4 linked regions of the Caenorhabditis elegans genome follow. The protein of the gene in region 2 purifies or fractionates together with the protein of the main gene of each other region. This does not show direct contact. Each region holds a gene or a part of one and is shown on either strand. Other genes may lie near its edges.

Region 1 (3,319 bases), 3.4 Mb from region 2:
AGGTGCTTCAACCATATCATCAGCACCAGTGCAGCAGCCATCTACGTCTTCTGTTACTACTGGATTATCTTCTTTGGAACTGAAAGGTTGGATGCCAGCCTCATTTGCACCGTCTGCTCGTGATCCGAATAGATCTCAACCACCCCTGTTTGCAAGATCTCAATCGAATTCTGTTGCTAATAGCACTTCCACGAATATTCAACAGCAACAACAACAGCAAATTCAACACCTTCAACAGCAGCAAGCACTACAACAACAACAGCAAAGGATTCAGCAATTCCAGCAACAATACCAACAGCATCAGTCTCAAAGTTCTCAGCAACCAAGTGACTTGATGTCTTCAAAGTTTTCAATGCTACAATCACAACAACAGCAGCAGCAACTTTACAATCAGATGCAGTCGCTAGGTCAAGATGGACAGGGATCCAATCTGTATAACCATGTAGGGATCCGTGATTTATGTCTGAAAATACGTTATTTGATTTATTTGCAGCTTGCCGCCCAATTATTGACTCATCAAGAGAGTTCTACAGGAGCACCTGGTCCAACAAGTAGTCAACTTGCAAATAGCTACTATCCATCACCTTCGTATACGGATGCCAGTGTTTTAGGGCAAATTAGCATGCCGTCATTGTCACAGAGAGGAATAAAGCAATTTGATGGATTTAATGTAAGTTTAGGACAAATTTGATGTTAAGATAGCAGGATCAGTTTAAAAATTAATGAATGGAAATTTAGAATGACTCTGATGGCGTTATTGCTGCTATTCTCGAGCAACAACAACAACAGAAGAAACAAGGACTCGCACAACAATCGTTCATGCATAACTCTCAACAGCCACAGCCGTTCGGAGCTCCCAGCAACGCTTCTGCAAATCAATCGCGACTCGGAATGATCCAACCTCGGCCCCAACCGCCACCATTTGTTGCTCCACAAGCTCCACCTGGATTCTCTTCTCTTGGAAATGCATCTTCCACGACGAACCCATCTCGAACTTCTATGCAGCAAATGTATCAGCAATACGGACAGAGTTCACAGCAACAGCCTTACGGTCAGATGCCTCAAGCGTAAGTTCTACGATTTCTAATTAAATATTTGTTTATTTATTACAGAATGGATTGGAACCGACTTGGACAGCAACAGCAGTCTGCATCTGGCCAACAAAATCATCAGTCATCCTCGTCAAATAAATGGTCTTCCAACTGGTAGATATCGCTCACAAAATCGTCTTCTTGTCAATTAGTCCCCCCTCCCCTCATAATAATTCGGTGTTTACTTGTTTTTTATTCAACCGTGAAACAATATGTCTTCCCGGTTGAATTGCATCCATTTTTCTTTATTTCGTCTCCTCGTTCCGGGTTTTGTAACACTTTTTCTTCATTTTAAATCTAGCCTTTTTTGGTCCATTTTTTCTTTCAACTCTCAAATGTTCGATCTTTCCCATCCCTAGCAAGTGTTTTCTTGCGAGCTCAGCCTTGTGGAAATTGTACTCTTCTGTCCAAATTATTCCCGTTTACCCATTTTTTGTTCTTTTTATATCTCCCCCGACATACTACTTCTTTTTTTTCGGTTATTTTTCAAGTCTTCCAACACAACACATATGTATTTGAGACGGATGTCAAATGGTCCCAACTTTTTCTTCCCTTTATTGAAAAGTGTGTCTTATTTTTCACTTTTGATGTTTTACTCGTTGTTTCATATGAAACCTGGGCATTTATTTCATTGCTAATTAATTATGACTTTCTTCGCTTTATGTTGATCCATGAATCGTGATTCTTGAAAGTATACAGGTTAGGCTATTGAAATGTACAACTCGAGGTTTTGATTCCTATATCTTGAGAATTAAGTCGGTAGATGTTGAAAGAACAAAAATTTTCAGAAAAATGATTTCATCAAAAATGCTCACAAGACTGAACCGGAGCTTTGTACAAGCAGGTGATACTGGTTCCAGAAATTCTTTCATTTTTTAAAATTTCAGCTCGATCAATGTATATTCAAGTTCAGGAGACACCTAATCCACTTTCTTTAAAATTTTTACCTGGTTAGTGGAAACTTCACTGTTTAAAATCTGAAATGTAGTATTTCAGGTCAACAGCTTCTCCCAGACGCCTCGAAAACATACGATTTCAGCTCAGCGGCTACAGCAAAACAAAGTCCACTTGCTATGTAAGGAATATTCCAAATTTTAACTACCATTCAGATAAAATAGTATTTATTTGTAAATTTTCAGAAAACTTCTTCGAGTCGACGGAGTGAAGCGTGTGTTCTTCGGAGAAGATTTTGTAACTGTCACGAAATCAGATGAGACTGTTGACTGGGCTCTCCTCCGTCCGGAAATCTTCTCAACAATTGCTGATCACATTCAAACCGGAAAACCTGTCATAAATGAAGCTGCAACTGTTTCCGACCAAGTGGAAGAAGATGATGAAGTTGTAATGATGATCAAAGAAATTCTAGAGACACGTATCAGACCAATGGTACAAGAAGATGGTGGAGATATCACTTATGTTGGTTTTGACGATGGTGTTGTCAAATTGAAGATGCAAGGTTCATGCACAGGATGTCCAAGCTCTGGAGTCACTTTAAAAAATGGAATTGAGAATATGCTCACATTCTACGTGCCTGAAGTGAAGGAAGTTATCGAAGTTAAGGATGAATCCGATGATCTTGTGGAACAAGAGTTGAAGAAATTTGAGCAATCAAAAGGAATCAAAGACTAATTGATAATTGATTCGTGTATAACTAGATTTGTTTTTATTAGTGTTTGCTGCTAGAGATAAATGTTCAATGAATATTTATAAAAACTTTTTTATTACTTTGAAAGTCGTATTAGTAGAATTGGTTTATGACTCTGAAATCATCGAATCACGTCAAAGTTCAACGGCCCAGTCCAAATCAGTGATATCAGTTAAAAGACTTATCACCCGGAAAAGTGGAAAATTGTGCTTCGTAAATTGATAAGAAATCAGTCAGAGTGCTGCTCAAAATGTTGAAACAAATTCTTCTCGTCGCTATTATTTTAAATTTAGGAGTATCTGCGTATAAGAAGAAAAGCTTGATTCATGTTAGTTTTTTTTTCAAGTTTTTGAATTTTCAATGTTATCCAGACGCGGAATTTTGCTATTTTTGCGGCTGGTTCGGTTTCTGAACGACATCATTTTAATAAATGCGGAAGGTACGCGCCTTTAAAGTGAACTGTATATCCAAACTTTATTTGCTGCGGTCAATTCTTCATAGTTTTTCGAGAAAAATATGTTTTTTTATTTATTAAACAAACTACATTTTGAAATCAAAATACAAAAATCTTCAGAAAAACATG
Region 2 (2,887 bases):
AAGCTGTTTTCACTTTCCAAAGAGTCGAAGTATTACATTTGGTTGTTTTTTTCTTGCATTTTTCCGATGAAAATTTTAAAAAAAAATAATATTTATGTACTCAAAATATAAGGAATGTGTAAATATCAAATATTCAAATTTCGCCATGAAACAGATCTCCAATGTCTCGTCCCAGCTTCAGAACTGTTGTATTTTGAAGGTTACACAGGATGGCCACACAAACACCGGAAGATGTATTTACAAGAAGCACTGAAGAAGCTCCGACAGCTGCTCCGGTGTGGTAGAAGAATGAAGAGTTGGAGCTGAAATTATTACGAATTAATATAGAAATGCAATTTCGGAAGTGCTTACATATTTCCATCAATTGATTTCAGATCTTTTCCGTCCACTAGAAACCATCCGAGGCCTGTCGAAGTTTTCGAGTCAACTGGGACTTGCTTTTCCAGGAATTTTCGAATAGTTTCTCGTTGTAGCAGACAATTCTTGGAATCCGACAGAATACTGTGAAGGATGGCGTTGGCGATGATCAGAAGATCGGTGGTGTTGGAGATGATTCCACCGCCGGCGAATTTGTTGGAGCAGTCAACTTCCGGACAGTTTTCCAGAATGTTTTTCGAATTTCGCTGGTAGTAGCTGAAGTTTTAAATAATTTTGGTTTAAAGAATCATTTAAAATTTTAAAAACCTTACCTAGCCCTTCCCGGAACAATTTTCTCTTTTGTATCCAGTTGTGTATTTCTCATTCCTAGATCCGAAAATAATTGATTTGCAAGCTGTCTATATGTTTTTCCTGAACATTTTTCAAGAACAGCACCGGCAAGTGTCAATCCGTATGTGGTGTAGGAGAATTTGGAGCCAGGTTTTTCCACAAGGTCGTCATTTTTGAAAATGGCAAGGGCGTCGAGCGAGGAATTGTATGGCTTGTTCGAGAGAAATTCGGGGGTTTCTGTGTTGTTGTTGGATGGATCTTCGTGTGTTTCGGATTTTTTCTGAAAAAAATACTTATTTTTTAATAGTATGTGGTTAAGGAATTTGAAATGAATTCCAAAATATTAAAATTCAATGAAAGTTACCGTACTTTCTAAAGGCACATTGGTGAAAAAGCACAAATGCTCAAATTCGCTTCGAGACCCGCTAGGGTTCAAAATACTGTGCGCCTTTACTACAGTATGTTTTTTGTTTTTTTTTTCTAATTTTTATTATTATTTTTATGAATTTTTAATGTTTTGCGCGAATTCAAGGATTTTTTTATTGGGTTTTGTATAGAAAATAATCTAAAAACTAGTAATTAATATAATTTTCTCATCAAACAACTGTTTCTATTGATTTTTTCTAAGTTTTCCATCGATTTTTATTTATTTATCAGTGTTCTCTGCTAAACTCGCCAGCTAAAGCATCAAAAACCTTGGCCTTGGCCGAAAAACTTCTCGGCCATGAACATGTGATGGTGTCTTGTGTGCGCCCACTACTTCTCCATTCTTCTTTTTGTTATCGCCGAGAAAAGTGATCTCTGCTTTAATTCTAAATGTTTTTTTCTGGAATTCCCTATTTTTATGCACAAAAATATTGCCTTTCGTTGCTAAAAATCCATGATTTAACGTATTTCTACTTTTATATTAATTTTATTTTTTAAATATAATAAATTAATTCCAGACAAATCACAGAAATGTCGCTTCAAATCAGTTCAGCCGCGAAAACACTCCTGCACAAGTTTGCGTTGCCAGCGGCAACTTCAGTTGCTCAGTATCACGAGAAGGTAGGTTTTAAATCATTTTCAGGCGTTAAAAAATCAATAAATTACACATTATTTTCAGGTTATCGATCACTACGAGAACCCGCGAAATGTCGGATCACTTGACAAGAACGATCCAAGCGTCGGAACAGGAATCGTCGGCGCTCCAGCTTGTGGAGATGTCATGAAATTGCAGATTCGAGTGAGTTTTTTCACATTTTCCGGGGAAAAAATTATTATATTTTAAAGCTAAAAACATTTCCAGGTCGACGATAACGGAAAAATCATCGAAGCCAAATTCAAAACATTCGGATGTGGAAGTGCAATTGCCTCATCTTCCCTGGCAACCGAATGGATTAACGGAAAAACTATCGATTACGCGTCGAAAATTAAAAATGACGAAATTGCCAAAGAATTGTGTCTTCCACCAGTCAAACTTCACTGTTCAAGTGAGCTTTTTTCCCTATTTTTCTCGATTTTTTTCGCAACTAAAAATGTTTCAGTGCTCGCCCAAGACGCCATTCAAGCCGCTTTGAAGGATTATCAGAAGAAGCAGACTAAGAAGGCCTAAGCCTGAAGAATGTGTAATAGACAATTTGTTTTCGTTATAGAAATCGCTATATATAAAAGAGCTTTTTTGTCACCTTTTCAGTTGCATAATGACGAATTCCAGCGGAATGCGACAGAAGCTGTCTCATTGTGATTTTGACGTCTTCGTTTTTGAACTTTTTCGCCGGGAATTCAGGAAGATATTTCTGAAAAAATTAATTTCAGATTTTCCCTTCCGTTTTAAGTTGCAAACCCGAATATCCTCATCAAGATCTAATGTTCCATTTTCAACGCACTGTGCTGCCAACGTGGCAGTTATCGGCTTACTGATGCTCGCAATTCGCATCACAGAATCTCCTGTACATTTTGCAAAACTTTCGAGATTTGCATACCCAAATCCACTTTTCCAAACCATTTTTCCATCCAGCGAAACTGCAATCGAAAGGCCTGGAATACCTTGAATAGCCTGAAAATAATGTCGAATTGGAGAAAGTTATTACACAGACTTGGAATTTAGAGATTTTTCCGCAATTACCTGGTCTCGACACGACAAATTTTTGTTAAATATGAGAAGGTGTGCGCCTTTAAAGAATACTGTAATTTCAAA
Region 3 (2,557 bases), on a different chromosome or scaffold from region 2:
TTTTAATTCATCTAATCAGCCTGACACCTCACAATCGTGATACTTTGTAAAAACGTAACACCACATCTAGCAACCGATGCAATGATGATAAAGAGATTGACGAAATGCAACGTAGGAGACAACAGAGGTCAGTGATTCAACGTATAAACTGGACCGCACATATAGAGGCGTACCTGAGAAAAACAGTATAAATAAAGAAAATTTGGCAAGAAATTCATCATTCGACTACAATGAACTCTTTGGCAATTATTTTGGCTTTCGCCATGCTTTTGGCAACCGTCGCTGCTGGACCAGGAAACCGTTACGGATGGCCAAGCTCTTACGAGAGATTCCTTGAGAGAGTGAGTAAATTATTGTTTTAAAATAAAGTTTTAAATAAGTAATTTACAGCAAGGAGTTTGGGACTTCAACAGACACGAAGCCCGTGCTGATTACAGAGGACGCAAGAACTACGAGCGTGACCTCCGTGATCTTTTCGACGACTGGAAGAGACAAACCCAATGGGGAGGAAAGGGATACAGATCCAACAGATTCCAACAACCAACTGGAGGAAATAGCCGTTACGGATTCAAGGGATAAACACAAATTTTGGCGTTTTTTGTTAATAATTCTATCGTTTTTGTCTTAGTTTTACAAAATCTCAAATAAAATTCGTAATTTTTTGTAATTATGGTAACTGCAAAGTGAACATTTATAAGGATTGCAAAATGTTTTTGAATTTCAAAAATGGACTTATTAACAAAACTTAACGTTTCAAACAATGAGTAAATTCACAGCAGTCTTTCACTGAAGTAAAGATCAGATAAAAAACTTTTGTTTTCATGCGAGATATATCAATACAGATGTTATCAAAAAGATAGAAGGTTCACAGAGGGTTTTTACTACGTGGCCTAAAAAAACCAGAACTCGGCCACGATTTATCTTCAATTGTTCACCTCAGATTTTACTAAAACTTGCCGAAAACAATCTTATGAGAGATCGTTCTGGGGAGGCGATTTTCGAAAAAGACCATGTTTTCATTTTTCGAGTACTTCTATTCAAAGCGACAATAATCAAAACCTGAAACAATTATTTCCAGGCTTCTACACAATTTTCTCACGTTCAGCTATTATCTGAGTTTGATTGTTGAACTTTATTCTTAATTTAATAATGAGGAACATACTTCCTTTGCCTTGGAATAATATTATGAAGTAGTTAATATAATAGAATATTATAGTTTATCACCGTTTGCAGTGGCACAAAATACAACCACAAAAACGTTTTTAAAAAATCTTCCAAAAAATCATCTAGTTGGTGAGCACAAATTATTCAATCACAAATATAAATTTTGGATTTTGAAATAGTATTACTAAATTGTTCATTTGAACCTGATCTATTCGCTATCAGTTCACTTCCCGAAACGCAATCTTTGTTTGGTGGCGTTCTGATTTGTCAGAAAACTGTTACAATCGAGATTGTGTTTCCCGGGTAACCGAGAATTCGATGAAAAAAATAGATGAACGAAGCGGCCGATAGTTCAAAAACACAATGTGAAAATTAGACATTAAATTTAAGAGGCGTAGCTTTAAAAGGAGTATAAATAGTGAAGGAATCAATGGTCAGGACATCATCAGTCAAGATGAACTTTACTGCCGTTTTCCTGGCGTTTGCCATGCTTTTAGCAACTGTCACTGCCGGACCTGGAAACCGTTATGGATGGCCAAGTTCTTATGAGAGATTCCTTGAAAAGGTTTGTCATACTTATTTTTGTTGAAAAATCTCTAAAAGCAAAATTATTTTCAGCAAGGTGTGTGGGATTATAACCGACACGAGGTTCGTTCTGATTATGGACGTCGTGGAAACTACGAGCGTAATCTCAACGATTTGTACGATGACTGGAAGAAACAAACTCGTTGGGGACAAAATGACTACAGATCAAACCGATTCCAGCAACCATCTGCAGGGTACGGACGATACGGATTCCCAGGAGGAAAGTAATTGTTAAAAAGTATTTCTTTTATAATTTGACTAGTTTGTTTTTCCTTCAATAAATGTCACATTGCATTTTTACCAGAAACATCGAAATTTTCAATTTTTCAATACATGTTTTCACAAGTTCACAAGGTCTGAAAAAATAATCATGACAGAAAAAGTTTGTCACTTTTGTCAAATTCTGGAAATCAGTTTTGTTATTAGATCCACAAGAGCACATCATGAATATTTGCGGTAAATTTCGAGAAATGGAACTCTCTCAAAAATATGGAAACTTCCTAGATGTTGAACAGACTTGAAGCCTGACGGTGTAAATGAAGACATTTCAATGCTGACTGGACTCCGATTCTGTGTACTCTAAAGCAAAAATTGGCATTTTTGATTGGATGGTTCTTCATTTTTGCAGAACTGAGCTAAAAACTTAACTTGTATGTTTTTGGAAGCTTCACAAAAGTGCCACTATCCTTGATTTTTTTTGCATTTTTTATTGAAAGCCATGCTTTTGGAGATTGTTTCTCCATGATCTCGACGGAATGTTTAAAATGGAAGCCAAAACAAATTACTTCAACGAATTTGAAGCGGCCTG
Region 4 (3,297 bases), on a different chromosome or scaffold from region 2:
GATAAATGTTTCAGGATGACGCTGGGCACGAAGAATTCGAAGGAAGAGTGAAGAATAACTTTTTAAAAGAAGAAGAACTTACTATTGAAGATGTTTACATTTATGTCACACCAATTATCGATATGGAATAGTGTTTCCAATTTTTTTTGAACAATTAATTTACCGAATCAATGAATAAGTTTTTTTATTCATATATGTATGTGTTCCCTGGATGTTTCATAAGTATGACAAATTTACTAAATGTTCACGTGTGCTTGGGGGGTACGTATCAAGAAGTTGCTAGTTTCCGAAAATTTTTGGACTTGGCGTTTTTTTCTGATTTGTTAGGGGTCTCGAGTTAATCGTCCTATGTGGGTGAACTTCATAAAAATATTTTTTCTGCCTCTTCCTATATTAAATCCTGAAATTGCATTCTTGACAGAAATAAAAAATAAGGGCACGTTGTCGTAATGGGGTGTCCCGAGAAATGTGACTGCACTTTGAGAGCTTATATCTTGGCTTAGGGTTGGCGGTTTCTTGAGCAATTTGTTTCAATAGCTTATAAAAATAGCGCCTTCCATCGTCATCATTGTGGGGGAGCTTTTGGGAAGGCTAAAACACTGATTTGAGCGGAATTCTGGAGTATGGTCGAAATGGATGTATTCTTTGTACTGACGAATTTCATGTTTTTTCAGCCCCAAATCTTCAGTTTTTCTGACATTTGGTTCCAATTTGTGCGCAAGAGAGAACTTCGTATTTCCAATTTTTTGAAACTATTTTGAAAAAAATTGGCGCACTTTCCAAAATGTAGGCCATCATTCAATTTTTGCAAAATCAAAAAGATTGATTAAACGTGAAAAACTTTTCTACCACTCTCTCTCTTTCTCTATTTTTGGTGATGAATTCGATAATTTTCATTTCTTATTTTTAATAACGTGAGGAAAACTCAATTTTGAAGACTTTTCGAGATTTTTACTTTTTCCCTAATCTAATTGAGGGCCGCACTTTTTGAACATGTTGGCTACTTTTAACCTGACTTCCAGCAGGACAGGCTGGAGGCCTGCAATGCTATTGTATTTCACTCAAACCCAAAAATCAGGGATTAGGGCCACCTTCTTACTCTTTGAAACTTTAGGCCTTTTCTATCCCTACACCCAGCAGAGCAGGCTGGAGGCCTTCTCTGAGAGGTATGTTTCTATAACTACGTATGTTTTTGGAAAAGTAATGAAAAAGGTCACCTAGGTCAGTTAACCGGATTGAGGGCCAGAGGCCCGAATACACAAAACGTATTGGACAGCCGTTAAGCCTATACTGAGCCCAAAAACTCGAGTTGAGAGCCACAGGCCCGAATACACGAAGAAGTGTTGGAGATCCGTCAAGCCTATTCTTAGCATAATAATTCAGTTCGAGTGTCGCAAGCCCAAATAGACGCAGATGCGTTGGACAACTGTTAAGCCTATTTTAAGCAAAAAAATTTGAAAAAATTTTTATTTCTAAAATTAATATTAAACTAAATTTGGCCGGTCTTGACAAACTTCAGCACATTTACTTGGCATTTACTCAACACTTGACTAAACTTTAGCGAATAAAGCGAATTATTCTTGAGTTACTCTACGCCGAACTAAACTGCGAAGCCTAGCAACTCTCCGATTTGCTAGTCAAGATAAGTTTATAAATTCAAAACAATGGCATTGAAATGTTTTGTTTATTTTTTTTCTGATTTTCCGAGGAGAAAATATTTACAAATTCAATCGATGTTTTTTCATTTTTCTCTATCTCTTACGGGTGCACGTGTTCCTCCTACAAACCAGTTTTCACTCGTATCAAACTGTCGAGGCCGTCTCATTTCTGTCATTTATTCTCTGATTCTATTGAAATATGTCGGAACTTCTCACCACATATCGGCCGACTAGATACATGCTCCAACTCGATCCAAATATGGCAAACAAGACTTACTGCGGAAAAGTGAGAGTCGACTATGAATTCACTGCAGAAACTTCGGAAATCAAAATTCAAGCATCAAGGGATTTTCAATGGACTTCTATTAGGCTGATCAATTTTTACGCTGTATACCTGGAATGTCCCATTTGTAAGTTAATTTAAATTTTGAAACGGTTTTTTTTTTGGTTTTTTTCTCAATAGTAATTGTGCTGAAAAAATTATGGACTCAAATTTTGAATTTCAAGACATTACAAAACAATACAACTTCCCAAGTTTCAGATGCAAGTGTGTTATGTGACGACTATAACCATGATCTGGAATCTGAGATTCTTACACTTTCACTGGACACACCGCTAACCCCAGACAATACACAAAATGGATTCTACATTGAATTAGAATTTACTGGACCCATAATTATTGCAGGGCAAACTACTGGCCTCTTTGCGGTTGATGAGAACTCAATTACGGCAAATATGAAAGATGGAAATGCACATAAAGTTGCACCATGTTATGAAGGTGTTGCTATCAAGACCTGGCTGACTGTGATAGGTGGTGAAGGATCACAGGTAGAAACTAACTTGGTAAGGATTTCGATATCTTCAGCACATTAAAAAAAAATCAATTTCCGCATCAAACAAACATAATCCTATTTTTGTATATTTTTCAGAATAGCGATGGACAGGAAGACTTTGAAGGTCGCGTCAAGAAGAACTTCATAACGGATGAGGAAATTACTATTGAAAATCTATGCATTAATGTTTCTAATTTTTCTTGAAACATCTTTTTTTATGTGAATAGATTAATATTTCTAATTTTTTCTACCCCAATTTCTATTTTGCCATAAAGATTTTCCAAGTATTGGAATTCCGATTTTATTTCAGTTATATCACAAGAAAAATAGGAAAAACAATTATAGCACCAAACAAAGCAAACACCAGATTATTCGATATCTGCAAAATCCGGAAGTCTATTCAAGGTGGGCCATAGTTATACGGACTACTTCTCTTTTCATAGAGGTGAATAATCTAGGTTAGAATATACTATAAATCATCAAATAATTTGCAGGCATAATTTAATAAGATTGAGAAAAATGAAACCAAATTTGCGTGGTTCATTTTGATCAGCATGTGACTTATTTTGTTTCTTTTTCCATTTTAATAGCACACATTTTTGAGAATCTATTTAACTTGTTCCACCACGCAGTGTAGGCGTAACAATTTCAAAGACAGCCAACCTCGTGTGATTCAGATCTAATTGAGTCAAAGCTCGAGGTAACTGAATTTTCAGACCTCCGATTTTCCATGTTCCGAATAATATTTTCAAATGCGTAATAACATCTGATTATTATTATTATTTGTTTTCGAGCCATTTTTCAGC

Evidence for each region.
Region 1: the proteins of iscu-1 (region 2) and nfu-1 fractionate together in Caenorhabditis elegans (co-fractionation; one large-scale study listed by BioGRID). This does not show direct contact.
Region 3: the proteins of iscu-1 (region 2) and spig-20 fractionate together in Caenorhabditis elegans (co-fractionation; one large-scale study listed by BioGRID). This does not show direct contact.
Region 4: the proteins of iscu-1 (region 2) and F47B8.8 fractionate together in Caenorhabditis elegans (co-fractionation; one large-scale study listed by BioGRID). This does not show direct contact.

The regions. Positions count from the first base shown.
Region 1 is NC_003282.8:10,385,534-10,388,852, forward strand, and holds nfu-1 (NFU1 iron-sulfur cluster scaffold homolog, mitochondrial), read left to right. Parts: upstream 1-1,879; 5' UTR 1,880-1,883; coding exon 1,884-1,935; intron 1,936-1,978; coding exon 1,979-2,041; intron 2,042-2,087; coding exon 2,088-2,166; intron 2,167-2,230; coding exon 2,231-2,720; 3' UTR 2,721-2,818; downstream 2,819-3,319. Other genes in the region: Ankyrin repeat and KH domain-containing protein mask-1, read left to right, coding at 1-442, 494-670, 739-1,067, 1,113-1,209; R10H10.3 (CUB domain-containing protein), read left to right, coding at 2,987-3,064.
Region 2 is NC_003282.8:13,782,310-13,785,196, forward strand, and holds iscu-1 (NIF system FeS cluster assembly NifU N-terminal domain-containing protein), read left to right. Parts: upstream 1-1,652; 5' UTR 1,653-1,665; coding exon 1,666-1,755; intron 1,756-1,813; coding exon 1,814-1,933; intron 1,934-1,996; coding exon 1,997-2,180; intron 2,181-2,234; coding exon 2,235-2,302; 3' UTR 2,303-2,371; downstream 2,372-2,887. Other genes in the region: lact-9 (Beta-lactamase-related domain-containing protein), read right to left, coding at 134-302, 352-633, 690-988, 2,376-2,486, 2,534-2,746.
Region 3 is NC_003284.9:6,084,523-6,087,079, forward strand, and holds spig-20 (Neuropeptide-Like Protein), read left to right. Parts: upstream 1-1,601; 5' UTR 1,602-1,618; coding exon 1,619-1,729; intron 1,730-1,782; coding exon 1,783-1,977; 3' UTR 1,978-2,045; downstream 2,046-2,557. Other genes in the region: C45B2.2 (Neuropeptide-Like Protein), read left to right, coding at 231-341, 391-579.
Region 4 is NC_003283.11:14,329,886-14,333,182, forward strand, and holds F47B8.8 (Aminopeptidase N-like N-terminal domain-containing protein), read left to right. Parts: upstream 1-1,788; 5' UTR 1,789-1,857; coding exon 1,858-2,068; intron 2,069-2,199; coding exon 2,200-2,501; intron 2,502-2,587; coding exon 2,588-2,695; 3' UTR 2,696-2,782; downstream 2,783-3,297. Other genes in the region: pepm-1 (Aminopeptidase N-like N-terminal domain-containing protein), read left to right, coding at 15-131.